Arabidopsis thaliana: one gene and its partners. The protein of the gene in region 2 purifies or fractionates together with the protein of the main gene of each other region. This does not show direct contact. Each region holds a gene or a part of one and is shown on either strand. Other genes may lie near its edges.

Evidence for each region.
Region 1: the proteins of UVI4-LIKE (region 2) and APC4 purify together in Arabidopsis thaliana (affinity purification with mass spectrometry, with the first as the bait; one large-scale study listed by BioGRID). This does not show direct contact.
Region 3: the proteins of UVI4-LIKE (region 2) and PMH1 purify together in Arabidopsis thaliana (affinity purification with mass spectrometry, with the first as the bait; one large-scale study listed by BioGRID). This does not show direct contact.

The regions. Positions count from the first base shown.
Region 1 is NC_003075.7:11,448,552-11,452,306, reverse strand, and holds the start of APC4 (Transducin/WD40 repeat-like superfamily protein), read right to left. Parts: upstream 1,756-3,755; 5' UTR 1,565-1,755; coding exon 1,487-1,564; intron 1,403-1,486; coding exon 1,291-1,402; intron 1,077-1,290; coding exon 985-1,076; intron 830-984; coding exon 746-829; intron 553-745; coding exon 313-552; intron 1-312. Other genes in the region: AT4G21520 (Transducin/WD40 repeat-like superfamily protein), read left to right, coding at 1,930-2,105, 2,227-2,289, 2,406-2,458, 2,556-2,636, 2,732-2,805, 2,899-2,981, 3,079-3,185, 3,281-3,423 and 1 more.
Region 2 is NC_003074.8:21,424,415-21,428,169, reverse strand, and holds the start of UVI4-LIKE (UV-B-insensitive 4-like protein), read right to left. Parts: upstream 1,886-3,755; 5' UTR 1,755-1,885; intron 1,451-1,754; 5' UTR 1,438-1,450; coding exon 1,093-1,437; intron 736-1,092; coding exon 349-735; 3' UTR 1-348. Other genes in the region: AT3G57850 (uncharacterized protein), read right to left, coding at 3,379-3,563, 3,706-3,755. UniProt on the Arabidopsis thaliana protein: Negative regulator of the anaphase-promoting complex/cyclosome (APC/C) ubiquitin ligase required for proper mitotic and meiotic progression and cell fate determination. Involved in entry into both meiosis I and meiosis II.
Region 3 is NC_003074.8:7,885,210-7,888,964, reverse strand, and holds the start of PMH1 (putative mitochondrial RNA helicase 1), read right to left. Parts: upstream 1,690-3,755; 5' UTR 1,584-1,689; coding exon 1,155-1,583; intron 1,055-1,154; coding exon 927-1,054; intron 839-926; coding exon 427-838; intron 294-426; coding exon 195-293; intron 93-194; coding exon 1-92. Other genes in the region: RPS10 (ribosomal protein S10), read right to left, coding at 2,352-2,735, 2,887-3,228; AT3G22290 (Endoplasmic reticulum vesicle transporter protein), read right to left, coding at 3,705-3,755.

The DNA of each region.
Region 1 (3,755 bases), on a different chromosome or scaffold from region 2:
GCAAACACATGAAACAAGAGAAATGAAGACTTAAATTAAAATTATACTAAGAGAATATTGCTCATAGCTAGAAAAGAAATAAGAAACTTACAAACCGTAAACTTTACTCCTAACAATATTAATTACTTGTTATAAACGAACAATTAAGGATCTCAGAAAATAATTTCCATGTAGAAATAGTGTTGAAATTCATTAAGCATCCTGCAATTCTATATGCAAGCGGAATGGAAAGATGATGAAGCATCATCAACCATAATACATGAATGGATAATTACGGCTTACTAATTACTTACAGTCAAAAGAGCGACTTACAATCTTTCCTATCTGAAATATTCCAAATATACTGAAGCATATGTTCCCATCACGATCACCAGTGCAAAGAATGTTAAACTTCCGGAATGAGGTATTGGATAGCTCTGCCAAAGAGTCTTCACCGTCATCCATGAAACTGGAGTCACCAGCTACCAGTCCAGGCATCTTTGGAGGTCTTGGAGCAGGAGGAAAAAAACGGGAGGTCCGGTCCTCATAAACTGAGAAATTACCACTTTCATCCTGTAAACCAAACTCTAAGAAAAAGTAAGCACAAGCTCAAATAACTATAAGAGTTGGGTGTGAAAAAAAAAACTAAGAGAATAGATGCTTCAACTGGGATTGGTAAAAGAAACTTTCTCAGTTTGTCAACACAAATATAGATACCGCAACCAAACATGAGTTCTTGTACAACTAGTCAGAGGAGAAAACATACAGTATTGGATTGTCCATCCTCCTCCCAGTTAAGACACACGACAGCTACATCATGGGGCTTCAAGTTCCTTAATAGCTTCCCATTCTGCATGAAAAGAGTATTACCAACTTTTTGATCAGCATGATCCTTTATAAATAAAACATAATACTAGTTTCTATACAGCAAAGTTTAAAAAGGAATATTTAGGCTATCAACAACGTCATCATGTAAAACATGGATTAGTTTCAATCTATACTTGCCTCAACATCGTGAAGTGAAATGGTTCCATCCTCGAGCCCAACAGCTATGGCTTTGCCATCAGGACGCCAACATAAAGAAGTAACAGGCTTTCCTATAAACCAAAAGAAAGGAAATACACTTAGTACCAGAACTATTGACAACCTACTTCAAATTGCATTCCACTTTCAATTTCAGCAAATAACTAAGTTCCACAAACGAATTTTCATCAAGCCTGAAAGTTAAGGAATACAATAATCACAAACCATCTTGTAATCAAAATTGTCTACTTTAAATCAAACAAAGTGAACAAAAGAGAGAAACTTTACCAGGCGAAATAGTCCATAATCTCTGCCAATTGAACCGATGCAGCAAAATCTTGGAGTCCTCAGTAACCATTGCCAGTAAATCCTTCTCCGGGTTCCACTCAGCTATCTTAATCTAATGAAATTGAACATATATAAACATCTAAATCCTTAAAAGCATAAAAAAGACACGAACTTTGAGCAGGAGTAGAACCAAAACCTGAAAAGGTATGGGCTTGTCGAACTGGAGCTGGAAAGGAATGATATTTTCTTCCTCGTCACTCGCCATTTCCGACATTCCGAGGTTTTTGGGATTAGGGGTTAATATTCTAATTTTCAATATCTAGCAAAGCTGTAGGAAGGAAGTAACTAGAGAGAAACACTTGAGAAGAAAGCTGTAGAGAGTGGATAAAGGAAAGAAGACGGTGGTCGCCGGGATTCGCCGATCCGCCGGGAGAAGAGAGAGACGCACTAATGACAAACCTGGCGGGCTTTTCTTCCAAATTCCAATCAAAATCCCTAATCCGGTTTTTGGTTTAAGTTCGGTTCAATTTGTCGGTCTGAGATTGAAAACCTGGTTCAGGTTTTGGAGATTTTGACTGGGGTTTAGAACGAAAGTAAACCTCTCTCTGCTGCTTTTTTCCAGAAGCTCTGACGAAGAAGATGGGTGAAGAAGAAGCAGTAGCAGAAGAAAATGGTGGACTTAAGGTAGAATCAGGAGAACAAAAATCATCCTGGCCTACTATGAGATTTGATGTCTCTCCTTATAGAACGCACCATTTCTCTAAGCAGTTCAGGACAGCTCGAAACCCTAATAATTTCCTCAAGGGTCTTAAGTGGTACCCTTTTCTTCTTGTTTCAAATCAATCTCTTGAGTAGAGTTTTGTTCTTTCTCAAAGTTTGGTTTTTTCTTTTTGCCTAACTTTTGAGGTACTGATTTTGTTACTGTTTCTTATATAGGTCACCTGATGGTTCATGTTTCCTTGCAAGCTCTGAAGATAATACACTTAGTCTGTTTCATCTGTAAGTTGAATAATTTCAATTGAAATATTTTTGTAGCTTAAGTATCAATAATTTTGTATGTTTGTGTAGTTTTAGTTCTCTGTTGAATCTTTAGTTTTGCAAATTTGCCCCATCAGGCCACAAGATGGAGGGGATTCTAATGGCTATGGAGTGCCAGTCCCTGAAGAAGGTTAGCTTTTCCATCTAGCATTTGTATGTTGTGGCAAATGCTGTAAAATATGTGTGAAGTAATTTTGTGATTCATGGTGTGTTTATTGGAATTGTAGATTCGTATGGTGCGAGTCTTCTAGTGAATGAGGGTGAATCTGTCTATGATTTCTGTTGGTATCCATACATGTCAGTTTCAGGTAATAGATAAGCTCATCATAAGGGGTTCAATTTTTTGGCTTAATGATTTCATCAGTTGAATTACTGATTTTGGCTGTTCACTGATTGATATCAGACCCTTTAACATGCGTCTTCGCTACCTCCACTAGAGACCATCCGATACATCTTTGGGATAGTACTTCTGGTGAGGTGCTGATTTTTTCCATGAAACTTAACATGTTTACTGGAGATTTTTTCTACCATCCTTTTTTGTTTATTTACATGTGAATAACACAATGTCAGCTTCGATGCACATACCGGGCCTATGATGCTATGGATGAAATAACTGCTGCATTTTCAGTTGGATTCAATCCTGATGGAACCAAGTAAGCAAAAACTTCATCTAAGTTGTATCCATCTTCCCACACGGTAAAGAATTGATTAAAAGTGGTCTATGTTCATTTGCCTGTGTTATGTCTTTAGGATCTTTGCTGGTTACAACAGCTCCATCAGAGTGTTTGATCTTCATCGTCCTGGAAGAGATTTTAGGCAGTATTCAACTCTACAGAAAAACAAAGAGGGCCAAGCAGGTTTTTTTCTTTCTTTTCCACTCAGACGCTGCATAACAATATTATTACAGATTATACAGAAACAAGAACAACCTTAACTGGTTCATAATTTCCAGGTATATTATCTACTCTTGCTTTCTCCCCAACTAATTCTGGAATGTTGGCTGTGGGGTCTTACGGGCAAACTACTGGGATTTATAGAGAAGACAACATGGAGCTATTGTATGTTTTACATGGTCAAGAAGGCGGTGTTACACATGTAAGCATTGACCACTAAATGTGCCTTATTTTTGTCCATTGGGATATGATCCAATTATTGATCGAATTTTTGGTGGCTTTTAGGTCCAGTTTTCAAAGGATGGGAACTATTTATATACAGGAGGTCGCAAGGTAACATACTGTTATAAACATTTTACCCTCTGAATGTTGAGCATATTATATCGCAACTTGACTTCCATTTTAAGGATAACCCTTTTTGGAGGAAAGTATCGTCTGTCCAGAGATATTCTCGTTGGTGTCCAATATTAGAGTATGATATGTAATAGGATGATGAATTGTCCTAACCTCACCAAAAAAATGTTTCTTTTTTGT
Region 2 (3,755 bases):
CTTCAGATATGAAATGTGTGAACTATTATAATCTTTCCTATGATATCATCATCAGCAGATGATTCCTGATCTATTCTATCATCAGAACAATGATTTTCCAAAACGAGTATCCTATAAAATCGTCAAAAGATGATTGACGCTTCTAATAAAATCATCAGAAAATGATACAAGTCTAAGAAACCACCGAACTTGTGAAGATATGTCATTAGAGGATGACCTGTAGATCCATCTATGATATCATAAGAAGATGATGTACTCACTGTGCAGGAACCTTTAAGCAGATATACCTCTATGGTCTCTTCTCCTAAGTAAGGATCATCGCATCTGGTCTCTTCTCCTAAGTAAAGATCATCGCATAGTCATTAAAGTCCGCACCCTCTTCTCCCGCTCTTCCCTTTTAGCTTGAGGAGTGCTCTTCAACTTCTGGATCTCCGCCATCACAATTTTCTCAACTTTGTCAATAGAATTGAGTAGCTTCTTCTCGGGTGTGATGAAGCCAGCTTCTTCCTCAGCTATCTCTTTAGTGATGTCAAGTAACATCTTTTGAACTTTAGCAGTTGATGGTGGGCAACTACGCTTGAATCCCACAGATGGTCCAGGAGTGACCATCGAGCATTTGTGTTCTCCTGACAGTGGTACTGGAGATTCAAGAACACCAACTTGTCGATGAGTTGGGATCTCAATAACTCGGCCATCGTCTCCTCCAGTCCCAGCTCCTCTTCTTCTCTCAATAGCCTGTAGTTCAAGAGTGTCAACAGAATAAATCGCCAGGCTAAGCAAGCCTTAAGGCAACAAATCTATGTGATAAAACTTATACAGATAGGCTAAGCAAGCCTGCTATGATCAATAATAAACAGAAACGCTTTAACAAACCAAACCTATCAGTAGCAGATTCCTAATTCAGCTCAAAAGAAGGATTACAAAAACCAATGGGGAAACTTAGACTCAGAGAAACCATTTTCCATGTGCTACACCACAAACAAGAGAGATCCCAAACATTTAACCAAGCTGCAAAGCAAAACCCATGCCAGACCAAAACTGATTATACAAAGAAGAATCAACAGGAAAACACAAAAGAGCTTGTCAATTTACCCGCACAATATGAGTTATGTCGCGTAGAGGTGTTCTTGGATACCAAGAAGGCAACAAACCACCACCTCTTCCACGCCTAGCGGTCACTATGGGCATATTCTCTCTTCCCTGTGGCAATCTAAATGGAGTGTGACCACCTCTGCCATTACCAGGCCTCCATGTAGTGAAATTGCCTCTCACAAGCCCGCCCGTTCCACCAATAGACCCAATATCTGGATTCACCGGAGATTCAATCAAACTAAGCCGTGAATCTGGCTCGTCAAGTAAAATACCATGTCTCCGTCGGTTGGCAAATATAGTCGAGTAATCCACAGGCCTCTCGGTTCGATCTCTTGCTTCTGGCATTTTGATAACGTCGCTGAAACAAACAACAACATAGATTCAATTAGAGACTGAAACATCAAAACTGAATGAAGAAACCCTAGGGTTTTACCCAGAAATCAAATCGTTCATTTCTCCTTAAAAATCAACCCCAAAATTTCCAGAATAATATATCAAGAAACGGAGAACACAACCAAAGGTTATCACAAACAATCCCAAAATGAAATCACAAATCACCCGATTCCAATTTCAAATCGAGTCACAAGAACACCGGTAAACCCCACCCTAACGTCTATAAACGCAATCAAATAGAAGAAGAAACACCATGGATTTGTGTTTACCTTTGAATCTTCAATAAAGCTATTGATAAACTCCAAAACTGTGTAGAGAGACAATGAGAGAGAGAGAGTGAGAGAGAGAAGAGAGCTTTCTTGGGGAGAGTGACGATCTGGGCAATATTTCAAGGTCGCCTCCTGAGCGGGATTATAATGAGGAAACAAATCCGAAGGCACTGGCACGTGCGGTAGAAGGCTCTCTCACACGTGTGCGAAACAAATTTCAAATTTTGCATCACAGGCGGGATCAACGCTTAAAAAAATCGTCTCCTTGTCTCTGAGATTACATTTTTACCCTTGTAAAACCTAATGCAAATAACCGAGTAAAGTTTGTCTGTGATCAAAGCCTACCTGAGTTTCTCTACGCCTTACCGATCCAACCGTTCAACGGCACAGATCTTACCGTTACATATTGCATAATAAGAACATGAGTTCAGATAGTAATTTTTTTTGTATATAACTATTATCAGTTTATCACCATATATAATATGTTTATTAGTCCCAAGCATAACAAAGATCATATTCTCGAGTCTGTGCATCAAGAGCACAAGCTCCATACACTATGATGGACCAAAATCAGTTTCAGCACTGATATTTGTCAATATTATCTCTGCTATCTTTATAAATAGTAATACGTTGTGCTTTATGACCAAATATAAACATACAAACGTTACGAGTTAGTCCCCGTAAACTTTTCCTAAACTGAACGAATTCCGTCGTACGCCCCGGTAAAAATACTTGGTCTTAATAATTCCCATTACTACGACAACTAGAATTTAGCACCAAACCATCTCCGATATCGTTTGTGATGTATACATATATTTTCAAAAGAAAAATCCGATTTGAATATATTCTCACCCATCACTACACCGTTTTGAGATAATGCTACTTTCATAAGCAAGGATAGTATCACAAGCATTATCAGTTTTCTATGGGAAGCCATCTTTTCTCTTCTTTATGTTATGGTTTGCAATGTTTCGTTGAGGTTCGTTTTCTATTCATATATTTATAGGCTTGTTAATGAATTTGTTTAGACCATGTTAAGTTGTAACGTACCGTGCGTTAACTTAAAACATTGACTTGCTAGCTTGGGGGTTTATGATCTAATAACCGTTTTGCATTCTATTGAAACACACATTATTGTTAATGCTACCATTAAAAAATCTAATTGTAGGTTAAAGGCTTAAAGCGACTTGATTTGTTATTCTAGAAAGAGGGTCAAGGCTTATATGTTAAACCCAAGAAACAATAAAGTACTTTCCTTCATCTATAACAAATGTACAACAAAGGAGAGTGACATGATGATCAGGATCCCTAAACCCAACAACATGCCAAAAAGATACTACTCACTCATATAGAATCAAAACATGATGGTGCATGAATTTTACAGTCAACGGAATTGCAAAATTTCTAACTTACTTGCTGAGTTACCTCAAAACTAGCCGATTTGATACGGCCGTGACTCAAAAATTATACAGTCCGATTATATTAAATACGTTGTATCATTCAACTGGAAAATTAACCAGTATTAGTTCATCACCCTTTAATTATTATCATCATATAAAGAACAATATATTACTGGTTTATTTATCCCAAGCATAACAAATGTCATATCTTCCAGTATGTGAATTTAAGGCACAAGGTCCATTCCTTCTGATGGTCCAAAAACAGTGTCTGCACTCATATTTGTGAATATTATCTCTGTTATCTTTATAAATAGTAAAATGACGTATTTGTCTTTCATTCCCAAATCTAAATTGACAAACATAGCGAGTTCCTCCCCAAAACCTTTTCCAGAATTGAACGAGTAATCTCCTACGCCACGGTAAAACTAATCCTCGGTAACGATCAATCGAATTTCCGTTAAAATAACAACTAGAATGCAAGTCCACATCACTTTCGTTTGAGATGTATACAAATATTTTCGGAAACAATTCCCATTTGAATATATTCTTACCCATCACTACACCGTTTTGAGATAATGCTACTTTCATGAGCAACGACGAT
Region 3 (3,755 bases), about 14 Mb from region 2:
CATTTATAGCTTTTTGCCAATCCAAATGCAAGGCGATCTGCATCACGTTTTGTTTGGGTAAAGACAATGCATTTTCCTCCTTTGCCATGTTCCTGTAAAGGAGAAGATGTTATAAAATCACGACTGGAAACAAAAATGAAGAATCAAAACAAGATACAGATAATTGGCTTAAAAGCAAAGTAAAGAAAACATACCTTTACAAGAGGACCAATGATGGATGCTCTTCCATAAGAATCTGCAGCGATAGAATACATAGTAATCCCATCTGCAAGTTTCTGATCTGAATCTCCAACCTAAATTACATAAGAGTACATGTGTCATTAAAAAATGTCACTTCATTAACTACACTGCTACAGCCAAGATCAATATTTGCAATTTGTACAGCAATTCTAAGATATAAACACAAGCAGGTATAAGACTACTCACAAGATCAATTGTCAAAGGATTGTTCAGGTACTTCTTGGTGAGAGATCTGATCCAACTTGGCATTGTTGCAGAAAACATCATACTCTGACGCTTCGCTGGCAACTTCTGCAATATTATTTCAACATCTTCCGCAAATCCAACTTGAAGCATCTGATCAGCTTCATCAAGAACCACAAACTGAACCTCTGATAGATTCAAAGCTCCCCTTTTCATCAGATCAATGATACGACCAGGAGTTCCAACCGCCACATCAATACCATAGTTCAGCTCCCTCATTTGTTGCCCGATTGGTGTACCTCCATAGAGACAAATAGTATCCAAACTTGGAGCAGATTCCCTGAACTCTTTCTCAACCTGACGAGCAAGCTCCCTCGTCGGTGCCAAAACCAAGCACTGAGGATTCTTCCCACGACTGTCACATCAAAAGACAACATAAGAACCAAAGGAAGTGCAAATCTCTCAATCACAAATGATCGTTATATATAACAGTAAACACAAACCCATGTTTAGCGTTGAATTTGATGATTTTGTCAATAATAGGAATCCCAAAAGCAAGTGTCTTTCCCGTTCCAGTCCTTGCACGGCCAATCATATCACGACCCTCCATCGCTGGCTCCAACACAGCTTTCTATTCAACCAAACACAAACATCAAAAACTCAGTTAAAAAAATCTAAACTTTTAATTGATCTCTATAACCAAATGGAACAGAGAAGAAGATCATATATACCTGAATAGGAAAGAGTTTCTCAATACCCCTACCCTTCAAAGCTTTAACAATCTCCGGAGATATACCAAGATCAGCTATCGCAAGCCCATCACCACCACCGCTGCTACCAACACTCTCCGAATCTCCAATCCCTCCATCGTTCTCATAAGAAGGAGCATACTCTTGAGCCGCGAATCCCGCAGAAGAAACAATCGACGATCTAAACTCCGACGGTACAGATTTAACATGAAAGTCTCTCACTTTAACACCAAAAGGGCTCGAATTCGAAGGGAGAGACTTGACATTAGTAGCTCCATTTGCTAGATCGGAGACTGTGGCGGCGGCTGGAGCAAGGTTATGAAATAGAGCTGCGTTAATGGAGGTCACCGAAGCGGCGAGAGTACGCCTTGACGTACCAAGGATAGATCGGCGAAGTACTGTGCTAATCATTTTCAGATTTCAGAGAGTGTGATGGATTCTGGTGAAGATGAAATGTGAAACCCCAGAAATGAGAATTAGGGTTTTAGGGAGACGGCAAAAGGGTTTAGAGATTTAAGAAGAAGAATCAAAGGCGGGTATAAAGGGAACTTTGTTATAATCACCTGCGGGTGAGTGTATGGTATGTTCCTACACGTGCAAGCTTGTGTAAGGAAACAGAGTTGATTATTATTTTTTGCTTGAGCCCAAAGGTGTTCTTGAATGTGAAGCAAAGAGTTAATGAGTTCTGTTTTTTGTAACTTTGTGTAGTGTGGCAAATTGGCAATAGCTCAGGTTCGGAATCAGATCTATCAAATTAACCTATACCATATGTCTCAAATCATTAGTGATTATGTACAATGTAAAAGTCTTAGAATTGCCTAATGAATGAATACACCTAAAATGTGAGCTCTTGGATCCTTAAAGTTCGACATCATTCCATGGTCGGGTCAAAGGTTTCTATAACTTCTCAAAATGACACCTTTAGCAGTCTAAATGTGTCTCAATCCTTGGTGATGTATAAAGACTTTGATTGGCTAATGAATAAATGGAAAGCACTGTAACTGAAACTCAATTGTATCTTTCAAAATCGTCCAAAAACACATGTTTATACTAAGCAAGAAAATAACTACTTGATCTGATGTGAAGCAAAGCTGGTTTCATGGATCCGTAAGGTTCGAAATTATTGCATAGTACCCGGTTGGGTCTTGAAACTTCTACAAAATGATGTCTTTAGCCATCTCAGTAAGCATTGGTGGTGGAGCCATTGATGTTGCCTAACACTTGAGTCATATCCAAACGGGTCTTGCAATGGAACTGGAGTTCATATTGAGCTCCAAGAATACGATAACGTTTTAACCAAAACAGCTTCTTGCTCAACTCATGACTCTGAGCTTTGATGACAAGAAACCGTTTCTTGAACCTCATCTCAAACTGTTCTCTAGACTTCTTATCGACGTGAGGCGATCTTAGCACCGTGTACAGAGTTCGTGTATCGGGCATTGCGACTTTACGAGTGTGAGGAGGAAGACACCAAGCTTGCTTTTCCGGGTTAACAAAAGACCGAATCGCTATACAAATCTTTGTTCCTTTTATCTTTGATGTGCTTTCTTCTGCTGCCTCTTTCTACAATTCAACCCCAAACACACAACAACAACAACATAAACAACAGTTCTAAATCATTTCAATGAATTTCACATTCCGATTCCTATTCGAATTTGAATCTGATGAAGCACTTTGAATAATATTCTATGAATTTGAACAAAAATGCATATACCTGGAGAGCGATCTCCTTCCTACTCAATGGTCTGACATTGTCTGGAGAAATTTTAATCTTAGCTTTCTTAATCTCGTTTTTGCGATCCTTTGTGACAGTGGCGTAACCTTGTGACGCGATTCCTGCGGGAACAATCATCGACGGCTCAGATCTAATGTGGATGTTCCTCGCTCTGATGCCAAACGAGTTAGGAGACGACGCGAGAGTGAATCGAGAGCTGACGGAAGCTCCGGTGGTGGCTGGAGTGAGATTGTGCGAAATACACGAATTGAAGGAGGCTAACGCGGCGGAGAGAGTCTGCCTCGACGGGAGTGAAGATCGGCGCAATACTCCGGCGATCATTTTCAGATTCAACGGTGAGACGAAGAAATGACGACGAGAGATTGAAGGAAATCTGAAAAACCCCAAATTAGGGTTTCAGTGAAAGAGTAAGCGAAATCAGAGAGAATTGTGAGGACAGGATCACCTGTGACGAGTGTACGTTATCTTACGGTGAGCTACAGTATAATTTTGTTTTTTTACTGAGACAAGTGAAAAGATGCAAAAATGTTAAAATCCCAGGAAGCAAGGTGAATAAAAATTACAAATTAACTCTACTAGTTTAACCAGAGATAATCAGAGTAATACATAAGAGAGACTCAAAAAAAAACTATATCCATGGATTCTAGAGTTTCTGAGTAATGTAATCATCAATCCTGGAATCTCTGGTGGGTGTTGTTGTCTGAAGAAGGCAGATACAAGTTTTGGGATTTGAGAGATTCTTCTTCCTTCCTTTGGTTTTTTTTGTTTCTCATTGTTTTGTCTCTGTTTCAGCTAGTTTACGCTCTAGTACTCGGCTTCTTGTTGAAAGATTCAATAAAGCGGAACAT